4 linked regions of the Lepisosteus oculatus genome follow. The protein of the gene in region 1 interacts with the protein of each later gene in a biochemical or structural test. Links are inferred from orthologs where the notes say so. Each region holds a gene or a part of one and is shown in the gene's direction. Other genes may lie near its edges. The genes, in order: notch1b, maml1, usp10 and numb.

The links.
Region 2: the proteins of notch1b (region 1) and maml1 form a complex in vitro, tested with the Homo sapiens proteins (2 studies listed by BioGRID). The link is inferred for Lepisosteus oculatus from reciprocal best matches to the Homo sapiens genes NOTCH1 and MAML1.
Region 3: the proteins of notch1b (region 1) and usp10 form a complex in vitro, tested with the Homo sapiens proteins (2 studies listed by BioGRID, with this or other methods). The link is inferred for Lepisosteus oculatus from reciprocal best matches to the Homo sapiens genes NOTCH1 and USP10.
Region 4: the proteins of notch1b (region 1) and numb form a complex in vitro, tested with the Homo sapiens proteins (2 studies listed by BioGRID). The link is inferred for Lepisosteus oculatus from reciprocal best matches to the Homo sapiens genes NOTCH1 and NUMB.

Annotation. Positions count from the first base shown.
Region 1 is NC_090719.1:5,185,101-5,192,872, reverse strand, and holds the start of notch1b (neurogenic locus notch homolog protein 1b), read left to right. Parts: upstream 1-4,405; 5' UTR 4,406-4,681; coding exon 4,682-4,739; intron 4,740-6,721; coding exon 6,722-6,803; intron 6,804-7,772. UniProt on the Homo sapiens protein: Functions as a receptor for membrane-bound ligands Jagged-1 (JAG1), Jagged-2 (JAG2) and Delta-1 (DLL1) to regulate cell-fate determination.
Region 2 is NC_090706.1:33,847,305-33,855,266, reverse strand, and holds the start of maml1 (mastermind-like protein 1), read left to right. Parts: upstream 1-4,869; 5' UTR 4,870-6,085; coding exon 6,086-6,409; intron 6,410-7,962. UniProt on the Homo sapiens protein: Acts as a transcriptional coactivator for NOTCH proteins. Has been shown to amplify NOTCH-induced transcription of HES1. Enhances phosphorylation and proteolytic turnover of the NOTCH intracellular domain in the nucleus through interaction with CDK8.
Region 3 is NC_090715.1:10,018,035-10,025,330, forward strand, and holds the start of usp10 (ubiquitin carboxyl-terminal hydrolase 10), read left to right. Parts: upstream 1-4,279; 5' UTR 4,280-4,527; coding exon 4,528-4,548; intron 4,549-7,296. Other genes in the region: marveld3 (MARVEL domain-containing protein 3), read right to left, coding at 343-452, 804-1,075. UniProt on the Homo sapiens protein: Hydrolase that can remove conjugated ubiquitin from target proteins such as p53/TP53, RPS2/us5, RPS3/us3, RPS10/eS10, BECN1, SNX3 and CFTR.
Region 4 is NC_090703.1:20,408,966-20,416,543, forward strand, and holds the start of numb (protein numb homolog), read left to right. Parts: upstream 1-4,442; 5' UTR 4,443-4,491; intron 4,492-4,497; exon of another isoform or gene 4,498-4,652; intron 4,653-7,578. UniProt on the Homo sapiens protein: Regulates clathrin-mediated receptor endocytosis. Plays a role in the process of neurogenesis.

The DNA of each region.
Region 1 (7,772 bases):
ATTGTTGATTTGTTTTGGTTTAATTTTATTTAAATATTTAGAGATCTGAGTAAAGGTGACCCTCTTGTTTTCTGGAATTCGGTTTGTTTTATGACAAAAATTACTTTGCTCTGTGCAATCCTATTACAATTACAGCAATAACATAATTAGAATTTATAAAGAGACATATTATACAATCCTTAACTCATTCAGCTATATGATGTTTTTTAATATGTCTGGAGGGCACTGTCAATGTGTTGGTTTACTGTTATAATTTTTAATTAAAAATAGTTTTAAAGAACACACCTACACAGAAGTAATATAGAATTTTGGTTGGTTTATTAGTGATTGTAACACCAGACCTATACTTTGGAGGATTTGTGCAGCTTCATATTGAATGAAAGGGATTCTACAACTAAATTGTTTTCTGCCAGTTAACACTAACTGTCTAATGTAAAGAGAATTATCACCATAAAAGTTACTGTTTGTTTTAGTGTACAGATGAAAAACTGTGTTGGTGTTCTTAACGTGGAATATAAATTTATCAGTAGGCAATTGTTCATTTTTTTCTCCTCTGTTCAGTTCTGTACAAATATGAATGCTGTGTTGGCAGCTGTGTGTTTCAGCAAAATAAGTCCTGTGATAAACTGAGATTAGTGGGTTAAGGGAGACAACGCTAACAGCACACATCCTTTCACAGGTGAATAGTATCGCTAGTGGACATCTGCCAGAATGCATCTGTGTGGGGGATTTTTCTACTTTTTTCCACACCCACTAGGTTTATGTTACAGGGCGTTAGCTGGGTTGGTCTGCACTGAAGTCACCTGTGGGTGACTACTTCACAAAGAGCAAAAAATAAATGAGAAAGCTTAGGGATCAGAGCAGCGTTCTAGATCTGCTATAGTCAAAGTCACACTCTGTATGTTCTTTCAAAACGGTCATTCTTGTAAATATTCTCTTACAAGCCTTGCTGTTCCACAGACGTTCTGCCTATAAAATGGTACATTTATAACTAGAGCATTTATCCACAAGAGTTGTCTTTCAAAGTTATTAACAATGCAATATGCCGTTGGCACTCAGCAGCCCTGCCAATAAAAAGCCAAGTCTTGAAGGGTTTTGGAGTTAATATATGCCAAATGTTTGGGATATATTGTGATTATGACAACAATAAAATGTATATATCATTTAAGTGTATGGGGGTGTTTCCACATGTCCTCACAGTGCTGTACTTCATTAACTCTCTCTCTCACCACTACCACCTCCACAATTTTTTTACCTTTTTTTTCTGGCCCCAGGTCAAAGATTCTCCTTAAGAGGCTGTTCCCACACTTCCAGCGTTTGTTACCTGCTTTTTCTTGGCCAGGGTTTAGTTCAGCTGTCAACGCAAAAATATGGCTATGCAAAATTAAGCTTTGCCTGGAGGCGCAGAAACTGGAGATAACATTTCACCTTGTGGTTCCCACCTTACTCCCGAAAGAAAGGCACAAATTTCCATACAATACGTTCAACTTTTCGTGTACTGTAAACATGTTTTATATAACTAGGGGCGTCATCATTTTTTCCCCTCATCTTAGACTTTAATGAAAATCTAAATGCCCTAAAACCTAAACCACAAAATCACACAAGCCAGGAGTTTCACAAAGAAACCAGTGCATTGTACTGAGTGAGCAACAACATTTCAAGACTGCAGCAACTGATGTTTTTTCATCTTTAACCTACATAGGAAAGTATAGAAGGAAAGTTGAAGTAAAGGTTATCTACTAATTTATTGTTAGAAAAACAATTGGAGGATTTGACATTTGTAGAATTAAATGTTTTTATGATTTTTTTTATTATAACATTGCGTCTATGCAAAATTAACATCTCTTGTTTTTATCAGACATTTGTCTGAAGATCTTTTAATTTGATTTACATGCACTTTGATTGTTTCAAGGTTAGTGTTTCTGATACCATTGGTAGAAGAACTGTAGGTTGTTCTATTAGGCAGGTGGGAGAATACACTCATTTATTGTTAGCCTTTGACTACATATTTGTGTTACATGTGAATTAATGTCTCCACATACAGACATTTTTCTTCTTCATATCAGACATGGCAATTAGTGGGACTGCAGTCATAACAATTGGGGCTTCACTTCAGTGATTGATAGAGTGGGTACATTCTTATTTGAAAAGAGGTTTGGGATACTTTTGAATGAAAAGTGCTAAATAAATTATTATTAGTTGCAGTAGCAATAGAAATAGTGGTAGTAGCAGTAGAAGTATTTATGCAAGTGCTCGGTGCATTAGATTAAAAAATGATTAGTTTAAGAAAATAACCTAAGGATGATCTATAGGTTTATATGGAAATGTTCTCTATGCAATAGGTTTCTATAGATTTCTTTTAACAAGGAGAAAGGTGTGAACGTGTCTCCCTCCTGTTTTCCCCCTTCATTCAATCACTATCCGAAAGTGAGTGAAAGTGATAACAGTATAAAACCACCTTCTCACACTTTCCACTTACCATGTGTATAACAGAAAAAAAGCCATAGTTTAAATCACAGATGAAGATAATTTGTAGTCAATGTGCTTTTAATTCTTGCTTTTACTGTCTTCGATCCTAGATAAAAGAAGGAAGACCTTTTACTGCAGGAGATAAACCCAAAATCTCTTTCGGACAGGTCATTGGGTGCAGCACTTGAACCTATTCTTTGGAAGATCCTTTGTGTAAATATCCATGCATAAAGATATAAACAAGGAAGTGTCATCAGATATAGTTGCTGTAGCTCAAGACTAATGTGAAACGGTTAATGTCAGCATATAGTTATCTCTTTGTGTTTTTTGTTGGTGTTTTCAGCTTTCCATGCTGGTGAAACACTGTGAGATATTTATCAGTGTGTAATTTTATTCCATTGAGGCAGCACAGAACAACAGAGAAACCTCAAATGATTAAACTGTTTTGTTTTATGTTGTTATATAACCTGTAAGGCCTGTAAATTGTAATGGGCATAATTCTACCATAAAGGAGCAAGTAATAGGTATATTCCAAAAACAATAGTGCAGTCCATTGGCAGGCCAATCTTTCTTACACCTGAAGAAGGCTCCACAGCCAAAACATTGTGTTTTCTTTCTTTTCTTTTCAGCATGGAATAAACCTATTGTTCCTTTGCAGCCTACACATGCTGACACAGCTACCCACCTGAAATCATGCTACTATATTTTTTTCTTTGGAGGCGAATTATTGTAACATTAAATTTGGTTTATATAATAAAAAACACAGATCTGAGATGGACTGGAGAATCTCAGACAGTCATTTTTTAAAGTCTCCCAGGTCATAACTTTAAACAGCAAGGTTGGGAAACTTGTTTCAGACTCCCACAACCCTTGGTGTAAAGACGTGTCTCCTGTCTTAAAATATACTTCCCCGTAGGTTTCTTCTAGTGTCCGCCTGTTTTTGTTTTTGACAAACATTAGGCTGGCTTTCATTCTTCTGCGTCATAACTATATTGCGGTAGACCCTGTTGTAATAAATTGTAAACTTGTGACCCCAAAGTTCTCAAGCCATATTAACAATGTCCCCGCCCCTCTCAAAATACAAAAATAAATTGGATATTATATATAAATAAAGCGATAAAGAATGTTAAAAGATAAGGCTCCCGTTCGAAATATGAAACTGTTTGCCAAGATACCATAATCGTTTTAATCTCAACCCAAATATATACAATATTCCTAAAAAAAAGAAACCCACCAAAGAATGAACAATGTTTGGATAAAACCGACTATATTTTTTTTATTTACAGCTAATGTGGTCTTAAGAAAAGGTTATTTTTATACATTCATCAGGATTTTAGGTGGAATATCATTTGGATAAATACTGTTTACAACAACACGCCTGTCACATGTTTTATTTTTCAAATTTTTCTTTGTTTTGCCTTTTTATTTGAAAAAATGTATCGTTTCCATAAACAAAAAAGTGCATCAGCACACACTGAAAAGGACGGAAACTGGCGCGGGACTTTTTTTTTTTGTTCTAGGGAAAAGAAACAAATTAACTCATTTTCAAGCGATGTCGTGAATTCAATAACCGGCGAGACTTTTGAATATTCTGTCCGGGCGTCTGAAGTGAGAAGACTGCTGTGTTCTTCAGACTTTCTCCCAGCAAGCGACAGACAGCAGCCGAACCCAGACCGGCGCTCTACCAGCAACCCTTCAATTGATTTGTAAATTAGGCAGAAGTCTTCCGCCTTTCACAAACTTTCCGTACTAACCCCAAGTGCTGTACTACAGTAGTGCTCTGCCGCATAGTTCCGATTCTAAAACACTTCAGCAAAACGTGAGTGGACGTCAATGTTTAATTTCAAACTGCTCTGCGTAGCAAACGCAAGGTGGTTTTAAAGAGGGGGCGTGTTTTTCCCACTGTTCCTCGAGCAAGTGCTCTGGGAGCGAGAAGTAATTTGGGAGAGGTACCTGCGCGGAAGGATAACGCCCCTGATTGCCAAGTGGAGACTGCAGAAAGCCAAGTCGCATATAGAAGTCTGAAGCCGAGGAGAGCACATCACACGCACGGAGTACGTAGGGACATTTGGGAGTGAGAGGTTTTTGGATCTATTTATTGAGGATATTTGATGTGCATTAAAACTCTTGGCAAAAGAAGAAGAAAAGAACCTCTGGATCTATGCTAACCTTACGTGGGATTATTAAGGATCTGTAAAGCAGAAGAGAAGGAATGCATCATTTCTTTGTGAAACTAATATTTCTGATTTCATTGACTGGTTTAACACGAGGTGAGTTAACATGTTTCGCATTCAGTAGAGCCCGTTTATTATTTAGTCGTTTAACAGTGACTGTATTCCCAGTCTCTCGCAGAAGCATGGGATTGAAGACGTTATTTTTTTCTTCGCACTTTTAAATATGACTTGGGGGACTTTATAATTAGGACTAATAGTGATGGGAATTCCGGTCTAAGTGGTCGAAGTCAAGAGTATTGCACTCATTCTGTGTCGCGGTGTTATTTTAACTGAAGGGGGGAAAAATCCAGCAGTCAAGTCTAAAACACTTGTTGCGTGTTCTCAGCCTGCGACGCATCTTGCTAGCTAAATAGCATCAGTTGCTAATCCACTGGAACAGAAAGTGAATTATTGTGAATATAACCCTTTTTGGAACCTTAATATCGCGTGCGTGACCTTTTCAGGAGTTTATTTACTCTTGTGTCAAAATTAGAATGACTATATTCTTTATAGTGCCACTGAATTTCATTTTCTAATCTTCATTTTCACCTCCTTTTGCTTGTCATACACCTCTTAAAATGCTGAGATACCGTAACACGTAATTTGTCGAGTTTGATGTAGATTGTGGAGTACTTTTTGTCCGATTTATGTTCGCTCTTCAGATATTTTTGTTCCTCGCAAACATCGCGGAAGTTTAACAAAATGACACCAGGCTTCAATCGATCGTATTGAGGCATGCGAGTAACTTTTCTGTGATTTTATTTTCGGTTTCGCGGTCTCAGTTTTAATAATTGTTATCTTACAGGCGAGCGTGTGAAAGTTTTTTTTTTTCTCTTAAGTTACATTTGTGTCCAAATGAGTCACTCCCTTGTTCTGAACTAAATCATTTTCGAAAGGTATTAGTTTTTTTTCGCCCCTACGTGTTGCTTGGGTATTCCTTAGTGTTGTTTCACAGTATATTATTAATATCATAAACGATCATTATTTTCGACTGAGAACAGTGATAACGTACAGTACACTGCAACTCCAACCTTGTATGCATTATATTTTGACAGTATTACGCATACTTAATACATAACTGTCCTTTGATACTGTAGCATTTAAGCTTGGTGTTTGATGAGGGTATTAATCCAGTGTTTTTTTTTATTGAGAGGCAGGGGGGCAAGGCGTTCGTGTGCTCTAAGATTGTATCTAACGCAAGTGGAGGCGGAGGCTCAGCATTGATCGTACCCCGCATTAAACAAGACAACAGGAGGCTTTTTTAGCTGCCACAGTGCTGGACTCTGATTTCTTCTTTTGTTAAGGGTCCGGAGAGTCCTTGCTCCGCAGCTGTTGCGTTTTTCCCACGGGCTTGCACGTCACGCACTCTCCTAAATACACAATTCAGCTCACTACCCCAGGGGCGATTGTGCTGCCCCCCGCACATTGTACAAAGTCCTTGCTACTAGTAAACCATAACTGGGCATTGCACTGCGCCCGTCAGCCTAGACGCAGAAAAGCGTTTTCTCCGTATTTCTGTCCTGTTTTGCTAAGCAGTCTACATAAGGACACTCTTTTCTGCGTGTCGCATGCAGTTGCAATACCCTTATCCACCTGCAGAGCGGCCCAAGCGTTGTCCATACACATGCACCTGGTTTGTACTGTATTCAACTTTTGCCCTGTGCGCAGAAGTTTGGCAGACTTTCGCAGTGAGCAAGAATAGCCTTTGAAAGTAACACCTTGGATTTCATTTAGCTTTCAGCTTGGCACTACAGTTTACTTCAGCTCTGCAAAACACATGACTTTAAAGTGAACATGCCTGTGTCGTCCGCGAAGTTGCAACCTGGGGTGTCACTGTGTCGTACTATTAATTAATCGTGCTGCTGATGTCCACTTTTCCCCAGTGTTTCACTGTGGTTTATGGGGAAAATAACTGCCAGATTGAATACATAGTGAAGAATCTCATCCCATGTCTCCTGACATCTCTTGCGGCGACTTTTGAACTTCAATAAAATAAAGCGAGAGAAAGGCCGTTCAAGTTGCGATGTTTGTGCTTGCAGGTCTGAGATGCACGCTACCCGCTGAGACATGTTTGAATGGAGGGAGGTGCGAAACCGCTTCTGATGGATCAGGAGAATGCAGGTAAGCGCTCGCTTGTACCGGCGAATCTGATCGCAACGTCAAGACCGGAGCCCCGAAGTGTGACGATATCGTAAAAATCTCCAAAATTATTCTCCTTATATTGTTTTTTTTCTTTTGTCTTTTGTTTTAGTGACATTGCTTCGGTGTTGTCTGTCTAACATTTTCCCTCCCCAGCGCGCACACACACACCAAAAAAAAAAACTTTGGCAAATTAATCAGGCCCATGAGCAATTTCGTGGACAAAAGCAAGCTTTTCCCGCAGCCTCTAATGAATGCAGGACACTTCTCCAGCAGAAGTCTCATAGACGCTTGAAGCTCTAACTCTTGTTTTTCTTTTCTTTCATGGGGCGACAGCTGGGATTCGGTCGCAACTCGGTAGCTATTGTTAAAAAGGCAGATTAATGCTGTGTGACTAATCATTGTGTGGCTTCTCAGAATGCGAGTTCCCCTCTCGGCCCCGACCCCAACCCCCCCCCCCCCCTACACACACTCCCCCTGCCTCCGTCCCTCCCCCCCTTTTTTGAATGGAAGATCTCTCTGTGATTTACATTATAAGCCCAGATGGCTGTGAAATGTAATTAAATTGTATGTGACTGGAACTGATTCAAAGACATAAATGAAACCAAACAAGTGCAGTGGGCAAATTATGCAACTAAAAGTATTTGCCCAGGGTAAAGTCTTGGTCATCTGTTATGAGCTTTTATTTTTTTCCTTGATCAACTAAACATGTACAGCTCCCATCTCAGGCTCAGAGCTCCTCTGACAGGCACCAGTGGAAAATCTTCTTCCCAAGTACAGACATGCTGCCCTGGAGTCTGCTTACTGTTAATCATGGTTAAAATCTTTGTAATGAAGGAAAGTTGAGGATGAAATAGCCTAAGTTTGTGTTTGGCATCTTTGAGCGGTTTCTGAATGAAATAAGCCATGTTGGCCAGTGGCCACATCTTAATTTCTGTCTGGCATCCTTCA
Region 2 (7,962 bases), on another chromosome or scaffold:
CCATAGCTTTTAAGAACAGACAGTATTGATTTGTGCTTTAATGAACACTACAATTACATTTTTTTGTATTGGATGAAAGTCAAGACATCAGATAATACCAAACCCCTGCACTAGGTTTCACATCTTAAGTTCCCCTGTTTGAGATGGATGAATCAATGAACACAGACTGGATTGTTTAACGTCTATTTAAAGGGGTGTTTCAGATGTATCGTCTAAAAATACTGCATATATTGAACCTGAGAACAGGGTTTGATATGTGAATTGAAATTGTGATCCGTTTCTTTGTGTTGGATCAAGTGTTCATTCAGGTCTGTATTTGTTAATTATAATAGCCCATTAAGGATACTTGCTCTGTTAATTTTACAGTCCAGAACTTTCTGTGGTAAATGTGGTCTTCCTTCTACTGTTCAGAGGCCTGTGATGGCTCAGACTAAAGGGAGTTCAATTGGGGGCCCTTAGGTTAGAAAATGCTGCCTTGTTATTCAAGAAGGCCAGGATTTCTGAATGAGTTCCTGAATGTAATGTGAGAGGATGTTTTTTTTTAATATATTACTTCTTGAGCATTTTTTATTTTTTAATTTTCATTTCCATCATTGTTAGTATTAGAATATTTTTAGTTAGATAAAATGGAGGGACAGTATACAGTCTATAAAGGAAAATAAAGTTTTGCATTCCTTAGATGAAAAGTCAGCAACTGGTGAATTAAACGCTTACATGCTGATGTGAATAGATGTTAAACCCAAGCGTTCAAACCTCAAATCTGTATGAAGAGCATACACTTGATCTGGGAGTTTCCAGGACTGTTCCGCCTCTGACATAAGGTACTACCCATTCCTACGTGAGTACTTTGGTGCACATCCTGTGATCTAATTTCCTGGCTATAAAAGGTGCCAACACAGAAGTGCCTGGTTGCTTTCTGAGTTTCAGGCATCAAGCCTATTTAATCCTGCATTTATTCGTGATGATAAACGCAGAGAAGAATCTGAAATGTTATCCTAAACCCCCAACACTTTATTCTCCAGAACAAGGTCACAGTTGTCTTGGTATAAGGGCTGCAGATTTTAAAGGGCTTTCAGTGCTTGCTCCTGGCCAGCTACTAAACACTTTTTTCTTCTGTCATGTCTTAACTGATTGCACTGACTTCAAAACTGAATAAAAGTTGCTCTTCTTATTTGCTGTATTACAAATGGAATTCCATTTTGTATACATTATGATAATGAATATTTTGATATTGGTTTTCCTGTAGGCAAAGTGCAGTATTTATTACTTTTAATGATGTTACTGATGAGCCATGATGTACTAACATCTACAGCATTCAGGGTATCAGCCTTTTGAATAGAAGGAGCAGGCCTTTACTTTGTACAGCTCGGGCTGCATTGCTGCATCTGATAATGGAAAGCTGTTTTGAAAAAGTCACGTTTTATTGAGAGATGGTCCAAAAATCTAAAATAAAAATACCAAGGATTGCTCTCAGTTTCATATTTATGGAATGCTAAACTTTGTTCTGGGGGAATTTAACAGCTTGAAGAAATAACATTTTAAAGAGTTATGATTGGCACACATTGTTGGCAGCATGTCATACGTCTGCTACTGTCCAAAGAAACCAATTATCCCACTGCACAAAAATAAAATAATTTGACATGAAGAGATGTAGGGGTGGCTGAACTTCTTTGGCTATTTTTCATTCCAAGTAGTTCTTCTGAGAACCGATGGTGTTCACATGGAGATATTGAGGACATCAGTACCACCAGCTCTTCAACCGAAAGAGCTACAGACTAAAATCATTCTGACATGGTGTTTTGTTACTTTCATTAATTTATTTTTAATAACCAAGTTCAGATCAATTTGATGGCCTAAGCTTTCTATTTCTCCATCAACCTGTTTCTTTTCTTCCAAGTCAGTTTGATAGGATTGGGAGAGTCCAGGCATATCTAAAAGTTATAAAAACATCTGGATTGGTGAAAAGCTCTTGGTAAAAAAACAAAACCAAGGTGAGGTTCCCCCCCCCCCCCCCCTTGTTCTAGAAATATGGTTTACTATTTTAAAGTGGTCATGTATTTCAGTTCCTATTTCTAAAGCCTAACCTTGATTCATCCACTCTTTCATAGATGTGTGCTGTTCCTCACGGAGTTTCTGTGGAATTATGGAACGTCGGTTACCAGTTCCTAACACATTAATCATGCACCAAATAGAATAATAGATGGAATTTTGAGATAAAATATTGTACAATAAATTTGAGTTTGGGCTATTACCATTTTGTTTTTGTCTCCACAAAATTCATAATTTCTTCAGAGTTGATGTCTTTTTATTTGGTGGGACACTTAAATGCAGTTGTATAAATGGATCTGTGGAATGTTTTGCAGAGAAATAAAACATTGATGGATGCGGTTTGTTTCATTTGTTTGAAAGATGGGGCTCCTCATTACTATGGTATTCTTTTTTTTTCTGGAGCCTTTGTTGACATGGATTCTAGAAACAAGGATTTTTTTCGATTGAAAGACGTTCTCTTTGAAGGCCAGTGCTATCTCTGTTTTAGTATGGCAGGTGTCTACTAACTACTAAACAGGAAGAGGAAGTACAAAATTCTCACTCTGAATACATATTGGCAACTTATAGTGTATGTCAAGTGGTAGTTGAGAGAGTAAATGAATAAATCCTTTTTCTTAATTCTTTTATGTTTTGTATATTTTAATGGTGTTGAAACCTAAGGGTTAATGTTAATTTCTAGGGCTCCACAAAAAATAGATCTTTATTATGTTCAGTGCCTTAAGTAAGGTCCAGATTAAATTGATTGATCTACCCACCTTAAATTAGAGACTTGTTCTTAGTGGCATCTGTGTGTACCAGAAGGCCCTCAATGCTTAACAAAACTGGTGCCTAGAAGTAAATAAACAGTAGCAATGAGAGGGTCTGGTTTCTTTTAAAACTGCAGGACGAGCTGGAGTACCAACCTAACCCTAAATATACTATAAATGTAATAAAGTTATAATGAAAAAATGTAAACAAAGACCTTTAACCTGTTTTGTGGGGAAGGTATGAAAAACTTTTTTCTTAACGATTCTTTGTAAAAGGACAATTGAGTCACTAGCACTCCAGTTTCTAACTGCCACATGAGGTGAACCGATTTCAACTATTGTTGAACAAATTTGAATTGCATAATGATTTTATATAATTTCAGGTCATGTTAGGGCATCCCTAAAGCAGAGAATGAGTCAGATCTTTTTTTGTGATTTCCCAGCATTAATGAAGTGGGATTGATGTGAAAGGCTTTCATTGTGGTGCCCGTGCTAGTGCAGGCACATGACATTTAAAAATGCCAAGCTGCCTTGTCATGGTTTTGTACTTTTGAAGAGCAGCCTTTGCAAAACAACTCATGAAGTAGATTACTGTGTGTGACTGCATGCGATTATAAAAAAGAGGAGCAGAGAACGTCAGTTTAACATATACATTTTGAACATGACACCATTGCCACAGTTACGCGCCTCTTTACAGAAGTGATCTATTGTAAATACTCCAGCAAATAAGAAATTGTTTGAAAAGGTGCTTCTCTAAGAGAAAGAGACCCTTTCCATCCAGCACTTAAGTGTAGTACCTACCTTGGTAACATCTTTGCAGGTAATTTCATTGGTGGTACAGCAATTCCACTCTAAAGCTCATAAGGAGAAGTGAGAAATCGCTTCACCAGTTGAATAAAGGGGAGCTGTAAATAGGTCAAATTGGATAAACCCAAAGAGAAGCAGCCATGATATTGGGATTACCCTGACCCCCTTACTCTCATGAATAGTGCCTTAGGGTCTTTAGGAAGTCTGTTATTGTTCCACTTTAAAGTTGGCACTTTTCCGTAGCACAGTGTCCTGAGTTACCATCCCTGGGCAATAGTTTTGTCAATTCTGGCCAAATGGTAGAGTGTCCCCTACTGGTCACCCAGCACCACTAATAGTAATAGCAACCTGGTTTTTCCTTGGAGTCCTTCCACCATTGACTAGGCTTAGGTTTGCTTAGCTTCTGAGGTCTTGCAGTTGGTAATACAACTGTCACATAAGATGGCACAGTCCCATGGGTATCCTTATCCAGGTACCAAGAGGCTTGGCTCAAATTTCAAGTTCAAATAATGGTCTTGGAAGATTAATAACTTATGGTATAAATATAATGTGGTGTGTAGACGTCTGAGCCAATAAAATACCACTTATGTTTGATCTGTTTTGTTTGCTATTGAATACTTTATCTGAAATGGAAAAGGTCCAAGGGGCATATTTATGTACCATTTGTTCCATAATTTTGCCAATTCAACAGTTCCAGTCCGTTAGCAAAATTAAACGTACGGAATCTGCCACAAGCGTTTAAAAATCGTTTTGGAGAAACCCAAAAAAATATCCAGAAGGAAACTCACTTTGTCTTCTATACAGCGCTTTTAGTTCACGGTGCTTAACAAAAAATTAACCAAGAGTTAGGAAAAGAAAAAAGATAATCGACTCAACACTTTCCTACACTAAAACATATCGGATGATGTTATTTAAGTTATGTAATTGTTATAATCATTGTGGATAACTCGTGTGGTGTAATTAGGTGTGATTTTCAGGTCTCTGTACTGTTTGAAAAACATAAACGAGCGCTTTATGAGTCGTATCATGTGCTCTGTGAGAAAATTAATAAAAGTTTGGCGTCTTTCCACACCACTCACTAAAAACACACCTCTCTTAAAAAGATGTCGTCCAAGCGTGCTTAATCATAGCTTTTTGAACGAAGTTTACGCACAGTGAAGGAAACCAGGGCTTTCCATTGCTTGTGGCTGCTGTCAATCGCTGAGAAGGGGTGGGGAGTGGAAACGACAGTCGTGACGCAGTGTGATGCGAAGAGGAAAAAATAGAAAAAAAGGGGAAAAAAAACTTGTTTCAAAATGGCGTCGGAAAGCTGCAAGTCCATTGGAAAACAATAGAGATACAGAAGGGAGGAAGAGTTTGTTTGGCATTCTGTTTCTTAGTGTAAAAAATACCTTCGGATATCAAACATTGAGGGCTCGGGATTCCGGTGGGTTTGGGGTGTCTTTTACCCTTTTCTGATACTCCTACATTTGTCAAAATGAAGAGCACGCTTTGTTATTATATATACTACATCCGTAGGTAGCCTGCTAGTGGGCAACTAAACGAAAATATAAAGATCAGCGGATAAGTTCGGGGGGAAAAGTTGCTTTTGTGGTCAATTGTTTTTTGGAGGGGGGGATGTAACTTTTTGTGAAGTTCACTTTTCCTGTGTAAATGTTTGCCTCTTTTATCATTCAGCATGCGAGCGACGTTGTTTAAAAAATAATATTGACTTAACGTTTCATGCTGCGTTTTAAGTTAGGATTTTGTCCATCCGTCCGGTTTTTTCCACGCCAAGGCGACGTCGGGCGGACTTACGTAGAAAGAAGTATGTAAAGTTAAAATAACTGCCAGGAGAATCTTAACTTCTTCGGTGAAGTTATTTCGGAGAAGAGGTTGCTCTTCGTATGTTTCTGTGCAGTTGAACTTCTTTGTCGCGAATGCTGTTTCACGTCACTTTTTCGGATTCACTTTTAAAATAGTTTCAGATATGCTGTTGTAACCCTCCTGCCTTTTGTTAGGGGTGAAGTTGTGGAAATTAACGGTTGGTTTTCAGCTACTACAGTAAACCGCCGAGATTTAACTTCCAAACTTTATGAATATTATTTAAAGCCTCACTTTCGTCTTTTTTTAAACGCGGTCGTTATAATGTAACCTCATCAAATGTAAGCTTCGCGTTTGCGAAATTGCACTAGACCGGTTGTCTGCCTCCGGAATATAACTTTATTATGTTATGTATTAGTGCCAGATCATGTTAAAGATAGCGCTCTGAATTGCTTTTTGGCATGCGTTCTCTATTGTTATGATAGTTTAGGGAGCAAGTCGAGAAACATGGAAAGACGAAGGCAGCGGTAGTGATGTTTTTGTGAAGGAAAAAAGGGGTGGTGGAATAACGCCCACGCATTTTTAGGCGCACCTTCGGAACTGATTTTATTTGTATCCCCCAATACCTCTGGGAAATCCGAGCCCCTTGAATTGTAATCGATCATTTTACATGCCCGTTGATGATGGCGGATTTCGTGGTGCCGCGGCACAGCGCCGTGATGGAGCGGCTCAGGCGGCGCATCGAGCTCTTCAGGCTGCATCACAGCAGCTGCGAGAGCCGCTACGACAACACGGCGATGGAGCGGCTGGAGATCGAGCGCCAGCACACCTTCACCTTGCACCAGCGCTGCCTGCAGACTAAGGCCAAGCGGGCGAGCAAGCACAGACAGGCGCAGCCGGCGTCTGACCAGGCGGGACTCAGGGGGGCTGGCACCGGGGGTAGCAGCACTGAGATGACGGACGGCGGCCCCGGAGAGCAGAGCCGGAACAGCACTCTGATTGCGGTAAGCGCGCTTGAGTTGTGATGCTGTGTTGCCTGGTTTTGCATTTCGATTTGCTTTTCCAGGGGATGCTTGAAAGCTAAATGCCCGTTAATGAACTTTCAACTTTGTGTTGGAGATATGAAGCACTCAAGCCACAGACCGAGTTTTGCTTCATCTAAGAGGAATGCTCTGTGCATCTGGGGGGAAGAAACCCCCCCCATCTGGACTGACCTCTGAACTCCAGCAGTTTGGGGAGTATTTGGCACTTTGCCACTTATAACGCTGCTGTAATTCCATTAAAATCTGGGCGAATATGATGACTCCTTTTATGAAGTCATACCGTGCGAGTTTAAACATGTTCTTAAACTGATGTCATTCTGATTTCATGAAACCCAGTTTGGTATGACAGTGTAGTGAAATAAAATGTCACCATGTAGACTTCTTTAAGGTAGGGGGCATAGACTGAAGTCTAGTGAGACTTTAACTAAAGGCCAGTCTTAGCTGTGTGGCTGATTGAAAAGGTTATCTAGCTTAACTTGTGATGCAGAAAAAAAAGTTACTCAATGTGTTTTTAAGACATTTCGAGTTTTTGCTTTTGGGTACTGCTGTCTATGAAGGAAAGCAGGAGAAGTGACCTCAGTGATGGGTGTTATTGCATTACCCCCTCATAACGCTAGTTATAGGTTCTGTATTTGCAGTATACTGATGTTAAATCTGGACCCCCTATTGTCTGCTGATTGTGCCGAAAACAAGTGATGGCTATTGACATATCCAAACTCTGACAGTCACTTCATAAATGCACAGAAAACAAATGTGGTCTGTAGGTGATCAGTAGGTTTTGGATGATTAATTCCATATCTGAATATTCTAGCACCACCAATGTAAAATCAACTTTTACCTGTGTGGTAGTAGTTCAAGAACATGTTCAGGTGGGTAGCTGTGTCAGGATGTGTAGTCTGCAAAGGAACAAGTAATAGGTTTATTCCATGCTGAAAAGAGAAGAGAGAAAACTCAACGTTTCGGCTGTGAAGTCTTCTTCAGGTGTTTAAGAACATGTTGTGCTCCTTTAATATGTAAGCAGTAACACTGGTTAGAAAAATATCAAATAGCATCCATAAATAGTCAATGCAAAATGTTTTCTGAATTTAATGTCTCCAGATACAAATACATTTTATCAAAACAGCTTTTCCCTCAAGGGCCTTCACAGCTTTTACTTGCAATTTTTTTTTTAGTTTCACAACAACTTGTGTAATGATGAAACTGGGAGTGCTGTATATTTGCAGGGAGAGTCGTGTCATTCGTCTTTGCTCAATAGCATGCATGTTGTAAAAACTCAGTGTAGATTCTTACCTACAAGGGATCACAATTTGTCAGTTAAACAGTGCTTTTTCTTTTTATACCAGGGTTATTTAGTTAGACTTGTAGGCCACCCCAAATAAGCATTTGTTCTTCCAAAGGAACAAGTTTTCAGAAAAGAAAGGAAATGCAGCGTTTTGGCTATGGGGTCTCCTTCGGGTATTTGTTTTTCAAATATGGGAGCTGAAGGGCTTTAAGATGGGGGAAAAATTGATTTG
Region 3 (7,296 bases), on another chromosome or scaffold:
TACAGTATATCAAGATCAGCCTTTGAGAATATCCAGTATAATAACCATACATACACAAAGGCTAGGTCTGAAGCTAAGATTATTCCTTCTTTCTTACATTGATTTTTTTTTCATTTTTCAGGATTATGATTAATTGGTCATATTGGATTTTTAACCAAGTCACAATGCAAGGACACTTACTGCCATATTCTGTATTTGAAACCCTACCTTCCTCAATTCAAATAATTATGAGCAGGATTATTAACCCTTTGCTTTTGTAAAATGTCACCAATTAAAAATGAGGTTTAAAGTAGTTTGCATCATGGATTCTCTTTTAAAAATCGCCTTCATCATGACACTCACCTCTAGAGGTAGGAATATATTTGAAGTTGTAGCAGCCACGAAGCCCACTGGATGGCACTGATTCATCATAACTCATTTCATCTGGAGGCACTGAGGGTCCCTGATGTGACCTGTGTTTAAAGTAAGTAACGATGAGCACTGAAGAGAAGAAAACAGGCCCGGCTCTTACCTCACCTGCTACTGCAGGAACAACAGAGCAATGGTAACCAAGTTATAATGTTTTCGTACACTTTATATACAGGAACTGGGCCAAAGCACTGTCGGACCAACAGATTTAGGATCTTTATAGAAAGTCCAGACACCTGGGAGGGGAGAGTTGTGGGTCAGGAAACAGACGAAAGGTTTACACCACCAGCTCCAGCCTCTGAGTGTAGACTCAGACCACTTCAGCCATCTTCAGAGTTTTCCCACTGTGGTTTTGTTTTGACACCTCAGGAAAAAAAGAGTGAATTTTCCGTTACCTTTCTTCCCTGTAGGAAGGAGGCTGGTCCCTTTGAAGTTGCGGCCCTCCGGAGCTGCGGGGATTCCTGTCCTCCCGTCTGTCAGGATAATCCCGGTCTCTCTTTTCCAGGTAGCTAGGATCCCTGTCATCCCAGTACTGCGGGTGTCTCTGGTCTCTGGCGTGCCGGTACCTCTCCCTCTGTCTGTCCATATCACGGCGAGTGCCACTTTCGCTCCTCGTCTTGCTCTGCGGCTCCTCATCTCTTCCAGGATTCCTCCCACCTCCCGGCATCTTATGATCTGTGAGTTCCGTGAATGTACTGTATGCCCTGTGGATCGATGAAGGGGCAGAGAACAGCTCAGAGAGAAAAACAAAAGTAACGCACCACTTATACAGTAGCTGCAACAGTCCCACAGTGGTAGCAGGAAAACGGCAAAATCATTTTCGTGGCAGGTGTGCCAACACTTAAGTGAGCAGCCAAGACACAGGTGAAGGATATCAATGTACCACAGTCAGTCATGACGGATGCTAAATCATAATTACGCCAGAATGCTTTAAGTAATATCCAAAAATACATATTATCCATGTTCTATACTATGTGTTTTTTTTAAAAAAACATGCAGAGAGTGATTTTTATACTCGCATATAAATATTACATAGTGCTGCAGTGCTGTGCAAATACTTTATTAAATGCTGATGCTTTTTAAAACTAACATGCTCATGCTTTGCCAAATTTAACAGGTCTTAGAGCTTAAAGTTAGTTGTGAGCTGCAGGGTAATATAGCCCACTGAAGCTCAGCAGGTACTGGCCAGTACCTGGATTGGACACCTCCGGGGAAAGCTAAGGCTGCTGCTGGAAGAGGGGTTAGTGGGGCCAGTAGGGTGCGCTCACACTGCAGTCTGTGTGGGTCCTAATGCCCCAGTATAGCGATGCTTACACTATACTGTAAAAAAGATGCTGTCCTTCAGATGAAACTTAAAACCAAGCCCCTGCCTCTCTGTGGTTGTTAAACATCCCAGGGAGTTTCTCGAGGAAAGTAGGGGTGTCACCCCCAATAACCTGGCTTAATTTCCCAGCGGCCTTTACCAATCACGGTCTCCTAATAATCCCCATGTTTGAACTGACTTTATCACACTGTTCTCCTCCTCACTGAGAAGTGGAAGTCCCAATTACCTGAAAAGAGCTTTGAGTGGCGTGTCCAGAAAGCGCTATGTAAATATAAGGATACTATTATTAAAGCAGCGTGTAGTTCTACTAGGTGAATACAAAGACTTTAAGCATAGTTCTTCGTAACTAAACGTAATCTACACATTGGACCATAATCATATGTAGTTCGAGTAGATAGCTGCGTCAGCATGCGTAGGATACAAAGAATAAGTAAAGATTTAGTCCATGCTGAAAAGAGATAAAAAGAAACAACGTTTCAAGATGTTGAGCCTCCTACAGGTGTGAAGGGTGACGTTTTCAGCGTGGAATAAACCTTTACTTGTTTCATTGCATAATCATAATATTCTTGTTAAAAGTGTCAAAGTAGGCAAAGAGTTACGCCTGCATCTAATAGGGTTAGTAACGAGTTTCACTGGTTTTGGCCACCATCACCCTGTATGTATATACAATTACTTTGCGATTTTTTATTTTGCGTATTTTATACTGATTTATGAGCACAGCTTACCCTCAGAAGTCAGCAAAAGAAGTTCCAGTGCTCCATCCCGGGCTGTGTTGTACAAATAGCTCCGGTTACCGAAACCCGGTTTGATGCGCCTCTCAGCCGAAACTGGTTGACCGGTCAGTAGTTTCCCAGTAATTCGCTAACCCTCGAAACAGGACTTGAGTTGAGAAATAACTCGTGTATCTTTCAGAGGTCAAATAAAGAAGTTGGAGGTCTTCAGTTCGACCTAAATGGTTTTCGGACTCAAGTTTTCAAGTCAGCATCACAAATACCACAACTTCCGAGTACGCAACATAACAAAGAAAGCGAGGTTTTGTGGTACTTTGTTTTATTTTTCGTCGTGTTGTTGACGAAACATGGACATATCTGCCTCGAGTGACCAGGTTAAATCCATCGACAGTGCACAACTATTGTATTTTGATGTTTCACATCCGCCATTAATTTTCAAGGTACACTTTGTGCGTAGCTCCGACACCACGATCCCACACACACATACACATACACACCTCATACCTGAGCTCACAGCTTGACTTCCCAAACGGAGAACCCCGCCTTTAAAAACTCGTTTTTAACTGGTCGCAGCGCGACTCACTGTTTTAGGAAGTAATTAGTATTTACTTTAAATAGCAAATATTTGATAAGGCAATATAAGAAGTATGTTAATCTACGTTCAATGTTGCAGAAACAGTTTTAATCGCTCTTGCAAATGGCATTATTAAACCTCTAGTTTTCACGATGGATTTCGATTTGATCATATTCGTGAGGTATAACTATAATTTTATGGCTACAGCTAATGAACAATGAATAAAAAACAATGAAAATGTAAACCGATAGGGTGTTCACAATTAAAAAAAAACTCTATAGAAACGTCTCTGTCTCGTCATCAAAACAGAAAATTCGGTTTTGACCACTAAATCGGTGTGGATCCAAACTGCATACATTTCCACAGAAAGAATCTCACAAAACATCAGAAAAAAATGGTCTTTAACCCCGTGATCTGCACAACTCATGAGGAAGCCAAACTGTGTGAACACATCCATTCCAGTTGCTGCTGGGAAAATTGAACTCACTGGTATTTTCAACTGCAGGAGCAGGACGCCTATCATGTAAAGGGGGGAAATCAGTTACTATTGTAGAATTTAAATCAAGTGATGTTACAATTGTACAATTCATTGTACGGTTATTGGTCACATTGCAAAACATTATTGCTGCTCTTGAGTCAGTCCAGAGAATGAAAAAGTCAAGTCTTGAGTAGAGCAGTACCAGATTCAGACATTCAAATTCTTAAAAGATGTTGATAAAGTCAGCCTATTGGACTTTTTCAGAATCGACAGTGAAAAAAAGACAGGATCACAAGTGGGAACTGCTAGGAAGGGTATTTGAAACCGAGGAATGGAGGCACGAATTTACACAAAGGGTTTCCCGTGGCACAATAACAGTTGTGTTGTTAATGCAGATACCCTAGCTTGCTTCAAGAAACGTTTGGATTAAATCTTGGCAGGAATTATCTACTAAAACATCAGCTAGCTTGGACCAGTCCCGCTAGCTTGTGGTCATTTTAGATTTCCTCTGTCATTTTAGGAAGAAATGATTGTTCCTGAATACAAAACATGCAGAGTCATGCATTAAAGACAAGTGTGCCATGTCTCCCCTTTCAATATATTTCCCAAACCGCGAGCGTGTACCCATGTGCTGTAGGTGTAAGGGGCCCTTTCGCCTCCGCTGGCGCTGGGCATGCGCAATGCGGTGCGCGTCCCCGCGTTTCTCCGCCTCCCACCCAGGGCGCACGCGCTCACCGCGGACTCAGTCAGGCTCTCAAGCGCGCGCAAGCCAGAAGCAAGGCGAGACAAAGATGGCGGCCATGGTGGGGTTAGCAGCGTGATGGGCAGGAGGAGGAGAATACAACCTTAACGTTATATACTCTAGATTAAAAAAAAAGAAACTACATTGAAAATGTCGCAGTAGAAATTGATTTGTTTTTAAGTCAAAGACCACATTTCAGCTCATCCCTGGAGAAGAGGAAGTTTATTTTCTTTTTTAATTGTAAAAAAAGAAAAGAAACTCGCCGGGAGCATGGCTTCACACAGCAGCCAGGTAAAAACTGTTCTTCACTCTGGTGTTCCGAGTCGTAGGTACTGCAGCGGGCCTCGGAGACGCCACGGCTCATGCTGGCATGCGTGTGAGTGCTTTGGCTGTTGCAAAGTGCAGCTTTGTCATTGAGAAGTGGGCGAAAAAAAAATTGCAAGGCGAGTTTCCCCGAGCACGGGATGCCTGCTTCCCCCATTGAAACCCCAGCATGGACGAGGCCCAGAGGCAGCCTCACTCATTCATAGACGAGAGCTCCCGAAGAGCGGGTTTAAGTCCTGCGCTCAGAAATCCGACCCGTGCCGCCGTGTCGACCCAGCCCCGGTTGCATCTCAACACGTGGATGTTTGCCCCACTCGGGTGGTTTTGCATTGCATTTCGAGATGGTTTAGCTGGCGTGCTCGGCCCAACCTGCACCGCAACAGGCCTCGGCGAGCTGAGAGCCGCTTTCTTCCGCGGTGTCAAACAGCGCGCTCGGGTAAAAGTCACCCTCGCCGTCAGTGAGTTGTGGTGCACGACCCGTTTTTGTCCTGACTGGGGGTTTCTCCCCCCCTCTGGAGTCGGTTTTTAATTCATTTAAAGTGTGAAACGGTGCATCCGCTGGTGGCATGCATTGGGCCTGTTGATCGGGGAGGGGGGGCGGTCTTGTTTTTCCGTGTTAGGAGACTCATCCAGTGTTGTATGAAGGAGAGCGCAACGGGACTTGCAATGGACATTTTTATAACTCGTTTGTCGCTCTTCAGTGCAAATGCACTTTACTTTGAAAAGGACGCCTGCGTAACGTGTTTGGGCCTGTTCATCATTTAGATTCTCATCGCAGCCTTGCCTCCACTGTTACCCTATGAAGCCGAAATAAATTTGAGGAGTAGCCGTAGATTTTGGGCCCCCTATCTTTTTTTCCCCTAAGGCGCAGAGACTATTCTAGCTGTGCTTTTATATTGTAAGAAAACGACACGAAAATCGGTGATCGGAGAGAAATTTAGAAGCATGCAGGAATAATGTGGAGTGCTGGCTAACTCTGGTGGGAATACCGGATGATAACTATACTCATGGTTTTCCTAGCTTTGGGAGAAGTAGCTGAAAGACCTTTAAGAAGTTTCGGTACCTGCGGTTTCTTAGGTTTGGTGGCGGAGCAGTCGTGGGTTGAAGGGTGAATTTGTGATAGCAGGCGGTCTTGAGAAGTAGAATTGTACCACAAAATGCTGATAGGTCGTAGACAACAAAGTGTAGGCATTTGAGTGTCCAGCGTAAGTTTGAGGAAAGCGTGTTTTTTTGGAATTGCTAGATGCAGGAAGCGGTGTGTACTTAAGCTCTCGGATACTTGCGAGTTTGGCGTGTATAATATAGCATGATTTTGATAGTGCAAGCTATTAATGTATCGTTCTTTCTCTTTCTTTTGCTTAGCTACATCTTCGCGTTTATAGTTTCAACTTGGGCAGCGCGTTACGAGGAGTTGTAACGGGAACATTGAAATTCAGCTGAATCATAGGCGCCCATCCCCCTACCAGGCAGCATTTTTATACTGAGACCACTGTGAGCTGCTCGACGTAGGAACACATTTGCATTGACTTTTTTTCAGTATCACGAGAAACGTACAGGTGGTTTAGTGTTTTTTTTTCTCTCCCGGCTTGAAAGCTGGGCGGTTTGTGCCGCTGAGGTGGTGTGTAGTGCTTTAAAACTTCAGAGTGCGGCTTCCATTCAGGACACTTGACACGTGATGCCGCTCAAGTTGTTGAAACTTACAAAAAGGGATGCATTGCTTTATTGTAAATCGTTTACGGAGGACGTAAAATCTTATTTTTGTTTACTGCAGTTTTAACTTGAGTTTAAATCGGTTGTCCTTAATTAGTATAAACCTAGCATGTTTCGCGTACTTAGTAATTGTGCCCAGACCGGTGGGGTGTTCAGTTTTCAGAGCACAGGGGGAATCCGTATTTAATATCAGTGAAGAGATCATGATGAGGTGTATTTGAAGAAAATGTGTAATACGTTTAAGATGTATAGATTCGGAACTACCAATGCACTTCAGAAAATCTGCATTGTTAAAAGCTTTGTGCATTTTCTGACTTTTCAAGGACACAGTATACCCCCGTGCGTGGATACTGTGGATGTTTCTTTTTAACTAGATGCTTTTGGTCATTTCCTGTACTTGCATCGGTTTGGCTATCAGGACATAAAGGAAAACGCTCTGTACGCTAACTTGATAGATATTATCTGCCTTTCGCTTTGCCAAGTTTAAAACAGCGAACGAGGTTGCCCTACCAGTTTTTGGAAGTTTTACCTCAGCAAAGAAATTTAAATTGTATAAATGCTCGTTTTGTATTCCAGCTTGCCTATGACATTTCTATTTGACTTACCTTTTATTTGCTGTATTTCTTTTTGATGTTAAAGAATGCTTATGGTCTTTAATTGCATGATGGTGTATACAGCATTATGCTACCAGACACCATGACAGTCCATGTGGATTGGGAAGACTTGCCTGGAGTTTAGAGCTTATCGTTGTAGTTCACACTGTCTGTTGTGGATTTGTTGTAGTGGATCGGTATGTTTTTCATTCAACTTTGCTGCTGTTGGCAGAGAGAGTCAAAGACAAAATATAGTAGTGTGCAAAATAGCTCAGTATTAAACTGATCATGGAACAAGTAATAGGTTTATTCCATGCTGAAAAAAAGAAGAAAGAGAACACAACGTTTCGGCCGTGGAGCCTTCTTCAGGTGTGAAGGCTCACACCTGAAGAAGGCTCCACGGCCGAAACGT
Region 4 (7,578 bases), on another chromosome or scaffold:
TAGGATTTACCCTTCAAGTAACAAAATAACTCACATTGGAAATACAGGGTAAACGAACTGCAAACTCAGAGAACAACTAAAACTTGTTCCTTTCTTTCTCCGTCCATTAATCTTGATCTTGGCAAGAGGCCGAAATTGAAATCATTTGGTTTTAGAGCACAGAAAGAAAGACGAGTTCTCTTGGATCCTGTGGAGCTAAATGAAGTGATTTAGAAATTAGATTTCCAATGGACCAATTATTTTATGCTTAATTAGTGCACATGAATATATGAATATATTTCCCAGGACACATTTGGAAGTGAAGAATAAATCCCTCAGGCCTGTGATTCTGGGTGACCAGAGCAGCTGGAATGTAGGTGCCTCTTTGTTTACAGTATGTAGAAGCGCTCTTAATCCTTGCAAAGAGAGGCACAAATTTTAACCACTTCTTCAGGGGTGATTGCTTTTATGCTATAATGCTCTTTTGCTCCATCAGAGTGGGCAGAGGCAGGAATGAGAGGAAACTGCAAAATCTATGACTCTATCCCAGAACCCACTAAAAGTTCAGGCCTTTGTACAGTCACAACAGTTGTCATCCTGCTGTCTTCCTTCTTACTTCACTGGAGCCACCATTGGTAGATCTAGAGGTCTGTGCCAAATGACACTAGTAGCTGCATTCTTAAGGCAATTTAAACAGAAACTCATATTGGCTTTTTGTGAGTTTAAAATTGCAAAATGTTTTAAAATTAGCCAATTTTAAGGCGTATTTCATTTCAACTCCTGTGTGCAGTACAGTTTCATTCTAGACCCACAGGATAGATTTAATGGCTCGGGCTCGACTCCCTCCCTAGCCTATAAAGAGCATCTGCATGACCCAGTATTGGAGGGATATTACAGCCCTTATGGGCTCCTCTAAATGTGCCTTTCTCTGTCACCTGCTGTGAAAGGCTAGCTAGACAAGATGCTTTAGGGAGTGCTTTGCAGAGCAGGCAGAGCATTTGACCACATATTCAAATTGCTCCCAGGCTAGCAGCTTGGCACAGCTCAAGTGCATCTGCATGCCAACACACTTTATCTAGCATTCTTCAGTGACAGGGGACCAGGAGGTCATGGTACAGGCAGGGGCTGAAGGGGAGAGGAACACAGCTCAGTATCAACTGGCCGGTGTCCTGGGGATTCCTTGTCTTGAGCTTCTATTATTTGAAGATCTCCTTGTAACCTTTAGGTTTTTTTAAAAATGTTTGTTTTCTCTTTGGACAGAGCAGTGCTCTACCACACTCCAGTGAAAACAGGAAACGAATGCAAGTAGAAATAGTGAGGTGAAATAAATCATCCCCGACCGGTGCACGTGCAGTCTTTCACTTTTAAGTCTTTCGGTTAATGCAGACCAACGCTTGAAAATGCACCTTCCTGCAATTTTGCCATCTTCGATTTCTTTCACTAATGCTTTGTACACTCTCTGTTTCCGTTTCATTTGTATGTGAACTGATTAGCTATCAGCAAAAGAGACTCTGGCTTTACAAAATGACACAACTGTATACATTCGTTCCAAAATGATAGATTTCAGAAGTTACTTAACTGTTTAGAAATGACATCATTTCTCACAGCTTTCTGAGACAGTAGACAAAGTTCTTATCATAGAGCCTAAGCTTATTTTATCATTCAGCAGATGACAGAGGCAGACAGGGCTGTGCAGACAGAAATATGAGCGCATCTCCACCTCTATTTTACAGCCACTGCTCTGTGTAAAGTAGTAGTGGACATTTTCTGTAGTTTCCTGCAGTGTTTTTTAATATGTATTGCATATTTTAGAGAAAACATTGAACTTATTATTAACCATTCTGAGCTAGTGTACAATTAAGCTGTCTGATTAAAAGAGTAGATTTTTGGTAGCACATAGTACATACATTATGCACACACATGATAGAGAAATGTCATGTCTAGCCAGCAGGGTATCTCCTGTTACAGTGCCAAGTTATGTTTGTTGGTCTTCACAAACCACAGACTGCACTTATAGGATGAAGCACGTTTGTATCTCAACCAAGAATCAAACTACAAAATCCCAGCAGAACCAGCATCTGAGTACTGGAGTGTGAGAGGATAACAAATAACAGCCCTTAGCCCTGATCAAGGTACAGAGACCTGAAGACTTGAAGATTTGCCCACTCTACCAATTATGATCCTCCTCCATGTTCCATGAGCAATGTTCCCATGGGTCTTTATTGCCCAGGGTAAGAGCAGGGATCACCACATAGGGTCATTGGCTAGGGATTTCTGTAGAAAATTCCTTGTTTACTGGCCCTCAAATTCCACTCCCAGCACCAGCCAGAATTTGCTTTTCATGCTACCCTTCAAATACTCAGCCCTATAACCATGCTTCAAATTGGGTGTGGCTGCTGATCAGTTGTTTTTACTTTTTCCTCTTCTATTGGCTGTTTGGGTTACCATTAACTTAATCCTGGATTTCCGCAAGAGCCTTCACAACACATCTCATCAACAGACACTTCTGAAGCGCACACATGGGCTGGTGTGGTGGCTCTGTGGCTAAGAATCTGTGCCTGTGGCTGGAAGGTTACTAGTTCAAATCCTGTAGCTGACAGAGGCATCCTACTCTGTTGGGCCCCTGAGCAAGGCTCTTCACCCCAACTGTTCCAGGGGTGCCATGTAAATGGCTGACCCTTTGCTCTGACCCCAAGCTTCTCTCCCTGCCTGTGTGGAGAGCAAGTGGGGGTATATGAAAAGATACAAATTCCTAATACAAGAAATTGTATACAGTATGACCAATAAAGTGATTGTATCTCTTACATGGAGGAAAGGCTGGGAAGCTCTCTCCAAGCTTTTACTCCCGGTAATAACTACAAGTTTTCCCCTCGGTCAGTCACTAAACAGAATGTAATGTGTTCAACAGGCCAGACAGCTTTGTTAGTATATTTTGAAAATGTGCCATTGACTATCGGCATGCAAAACATTCATTCTCCCTCTGAGTGACATTGATAGGATCTTCACAGTTAGGCATGCTAGGAATGCATGTCACCAGTTGCGTGTTCAGTGGGTAGTTTAGTTTTCCCCTGGGATGTGCCACAGTATAACAGGAATCTCCGTGTTAGCTCATTAAAATGTTAACTGTTAGACACACTAGTATTTCCCTGTATGTCAAGTGCTTTTGAAAACACCATGTATAGGATTTGAAAAAGCATTTCTGTTCTGGACTTAGCTGCTGTTTAATGCGTAAATGTCCTAACGGGTTTGTGAAAGTAAAACAAATAAAGTCACTTTTTAGACACCATTTGTTCTAAGAAGGGTCAGATGCTGCATGCTGCAGTCATGTTATTCTGATGCCTACCTCACCCTGCAAATTAAAAAATCAAAAACAAGAAAATGTGTGATGAAATATGCCTCATGCTAGTTTTCTCTGCATTGAGACATGCAGACTTACAAAGAAGTACTGGGTTTTGTTTCTATTCATACAAACTAAGCAGCTTCCAGTCAGGTGCTGCAAACCAGACTATGGACAGTGATTTTAAACCTTATCTCTTGCATATTTCTACTCATCCAAAACACCCAAGACCTCTGTTAAACGTGAGACTACTGTCTGGTGTGTTGCAAGACACTGGCAATGTTCCCAGTAAACTGCTTTATTTAAAAACAGGGTTGATCCTGACAGACTAGACTTCGATATACTCATGACTGGTATAATATTTAGCTTGTGTCAGCTTTGCGCTGTTCTTGTGAAAATTAAATATGCATTAAAGTGATATTTCTGCTCATTGTTTCCTTTTATTACTTCGTGTTATCATCTGCCTATAAGGTCGAGACCTTGGAAAAAAGTATATTTTTACACTTATCTGTTGTATTCTGGAACATTTTGTATGTATTCGCAAAGTATTAAGTATTCACAGTGCCCCCGCACTGTACTGGATGTGCAATATACAGCTAGTGTTACTTATTTAAAAAAAAATCAGTGAGACTCCCCGTCGACAGTTTAAAACTGTCAGTACAGCCAGATACACTGTATTTACAGCACGCCGGTGCCTAAAGCCTAAGTTATCTGCAGCTTCAGAAACCAGAACAGCTGGGGTTAAACAACCAACCGACGCTTTCTTGACGTATAACGAGATCTGTAACCTCTACCCAAGCATGCGCAAATCATCTGCTTTCCACAGAAAACTGAACAGCTCTGAAGAGGGATGAAGAAAATGGGCGGGGAAATTATGGGGATGGGTAGGCACATAGTGCGCAAACGAGCAGACCCAGGTGAATGATTGGGTGCTCCATCTTCCGCTATGAAATGAAGGCGGAGCGATAGTCTTGACATGCATTCGATTTAGCCTGTACATGTACTCCTTGAGCCTTCGGACACGCCTCCTCTACTGCTGATTGGAAGTCCGTTCGGACAACCGAGGGAGTTAGCTCCCGCCTCCAGACTCAAGGGTTGCTGCAATCGGAGTCGATGGAAGGCGGGCCGTTGCTAGGGGTGAGGTTAGGTTGAGCCGGCGGCTGGTTAGCGAGCAGGTGAGTCGGCTGGCTTTCGCTGGATTGGAGGTGTCGGCTCAGTTTTCCTTCCCTGTTCTTCTGGGAATTTACATTGTATTGGTCGTTTTTCGTGCTGCTAGGAAGCTAAACCAGTGCCAGTAAGCACTTTTACACCTTTCCTGTCTGGAGCTGGTGTCAAGGTAAGTCCATTCCCTGACAGTTTCCTGTTTTTTAATGATTTTGTTGTTGGCTACTTCAGTCGTATGCCGTGCGGTTCTGGTAGCGCCGTAGTTACTTGTTCGCTCTGGGACTTGGGTGAATTTCACTTGTCACCCAGTGTACAGCATGTAGTGTGAAGTCCTGCCAGATGCCATGCTATCAGAATATTACTTCTCAAAAATGACTCACGCAGTCATTTCGTTTTTTACGGATTTCGTGTCTCAGAATGTCTTGTAATTCTGTAAAGGCTTAACACGTTAACATAATGTGCGACACTAGTGTATGTAAAGCAAAGCCGTTGTGTCAGTCGGTCCTAGCGAGTGTACGAACCCTGGACCGGTAGCTGCAGCGAGTCTAGCTGCTTAAATTAAAAACTGTCACGAAACGGGGCGTCTTGTGATTTTGCCTTCTGCGGGTTTGCTGGGCGTATCGGCACCTGTGCATGCCCGGCTGTCCGCTGACTTGTGTTTTCTGTTAACAGTTTACGTTTTCAGGGGCGGATTTAAACAGCTTTGATGGAGGAGTTAGATTGATCAATCTCAATAAACTGTTCTATAGTCTACCGCTCTGCCAGTGAGACTGTGAAGGTCAGGCACAGCAGAAGTGGCCGGTATCGTGCGGAAAAGAACCAGACGCATACACAGGAAAAAAAAAACGCGAGCATTACTCGTGTGCGGTTTGAATCACATATTTCTAGGGATCTAACGTCAGCAGTATGCAGAACGGTCTCATGTGACGGGCTAAGGTATTTAATTCTTTGGATACTTCAACATGGTTCAGCTGTCTTCCTCTTTGGAAGATGCAGTTTCTGTTCGTGATTTGCGGATTGAAGGAAATCGGAAGGAATCTGTGTCCCTTCCTCAGCTCGGATAGTCAGTAACCTATTAACCCAAAACGTCCTGGACAGGTTAACCACTGGGCTTCTCTGTCCCACAGAGCACCGGAGGTGGAACCGCATTCTCGCCAAAGCACACATGGATAAAAGCACACATCCTTGTACCGTCAGAGGTCTTTTATAAAGGTTACAAACGAGAGGAACCCATCTTAATTAATCTAGGGATCTATTGTTTATGTAAAGAAGACAGGGTTTCAGCTTCAACAACACGGCTGGGCAGCCTGTTTATCTTCTTTGTTGGTCCAGAACTTTTCTGCACCATATCCTGGTTTGAGGCCGCAGCCTTGTAGCGCAGAATACTTAATTGTAAGTACCACAGCTCATTTTTTACACAAAAAATGTACAAATATCCGATCATCTCTTGTTTCCTGAAGTGTTTTTTAACAGAGATGCCTGTTTGCAGAGCTCTGATGTTTCCCAACACTGCCTGCTTTGTGAAGGAATTGGCAGCTCATGCTCTGGATGAGGACTTGCTACCGTTTCAGTGGTGGAAGGGACAGGAACTGCCCCCTGTCCCCTGGGGCACTTTCTCATTGAGTTGTGGCTTCCCACACGCTGTTCTGTTTGAGAGTCGAAAGCGCACACTCGATCAGCTTGTGTTTTTTATTAGGAGGGGGGGAGCCTTCCTGTGGTTTTTATTTTTCAACATTTTCATTTTCCATAAATGTGACTGAACTTACAAAAGTGCCTCTGTCCCTTTATGTCTCCCAACTGGAGAAGTAAAAAGCTGGTGAGCCCTACTCACAGTGGAGTTCCCAGGACCTGAACTGTACCAGAGCCAGGTGACACACATACGCATGTCCTTCATTAACTTGGCTGCCGTACTGCGTGAGCTGTCTGAAGTCAAAGGCTTAAGTTAACCTATTTTAAAAAGCGGCCAGGGGCAAGAGTTTCTTCCAAAGTTTTCCTGCGCTCCTGTGGGTAAAGGGCTTACGTGGGGAATGAGAAGAAAATGGGTTCTGTTTCTGTAGTGCGGTTCACCTTTGTTGGAACGTGAGCGCAGCTCTGGGTGGGCTGTGGGTGGTCTGTGTTGGGCTGGGAATACCACCAGCCCAGGTGGATTGCTTCCTCAGGAAGTTAGCTACTGTGTGAGAGTCATGGGATGGGCACAGCCCCTGCCAGTGACAGGCCCTCTGTGCCCAGTCGTGTACAAGCCTGGTTTCAGTGTCTGCCAAAGTTCTTGTTCTTCTCAGGCCACCTGGGAGCCTATGTCTAGTCTTGATTTTGTAAAGGATGTTTTCAGGCATTTTCTTTTGCTTTATTTTGTGAAATGTTGCTCTGATTTTTCTGAAACTGAACAAATAGCAATGAAAGGCATGTGTTCATTAACCTTCCAGTTCCATTTAACGGTAAAGAGGGCAAATTAGTTCTGTCTTTTATGGTCTGATATCTGCTGATCCTCCTGATCCAGCAGAGGGTCCAGAGATTGAAATTAGAGGCAGTTTCTTTGTGTGACTGAGCATAGATTTTGATGAAGGCCTGTGTGTTCAGAACTGCAGTGTGTGGGGCCAATCTCTTGAATCTGTCTGTCTGTAATCTTAGTATGTTATTTGTTTCCATGTCAAGCAGCATTTTTTGCTGAACCACATTCCATGTTGATGTTGTTTTGGTTTAAGATTATGTAAATGTTTGCCTACAGTTCTACAGAAGGGGTGTTTGAGGTGGATCTTTAGCAGTCAAATTCAAGACCCGTTACAAGGCAGTGAAGATCTAGAAGTTGTTTATGGCTGTTGGTTAAAGGCCGGAGAATGGCGGTCCTCAGATGTTTTTGGAGAAGGTGGAGTGTGTGCAATGGGAAGTCTAATGTGTGACTGGTTGAACTGATGTTTTCTTTTCTCCATTTCTTTGTCAGAACTATTTCAGAGCAGACAGGTGTAGTTGGAAAGAGATCCTGCAGCAAATTGAAAAGAAGGGAACATGATTTTATAGGTTATTACTCCTTCTCTTGTTTAAATGTTATTACAGACAAATGTTATTAATTGCAAGTTTCAGAACCATAACCTCTGTCAGAA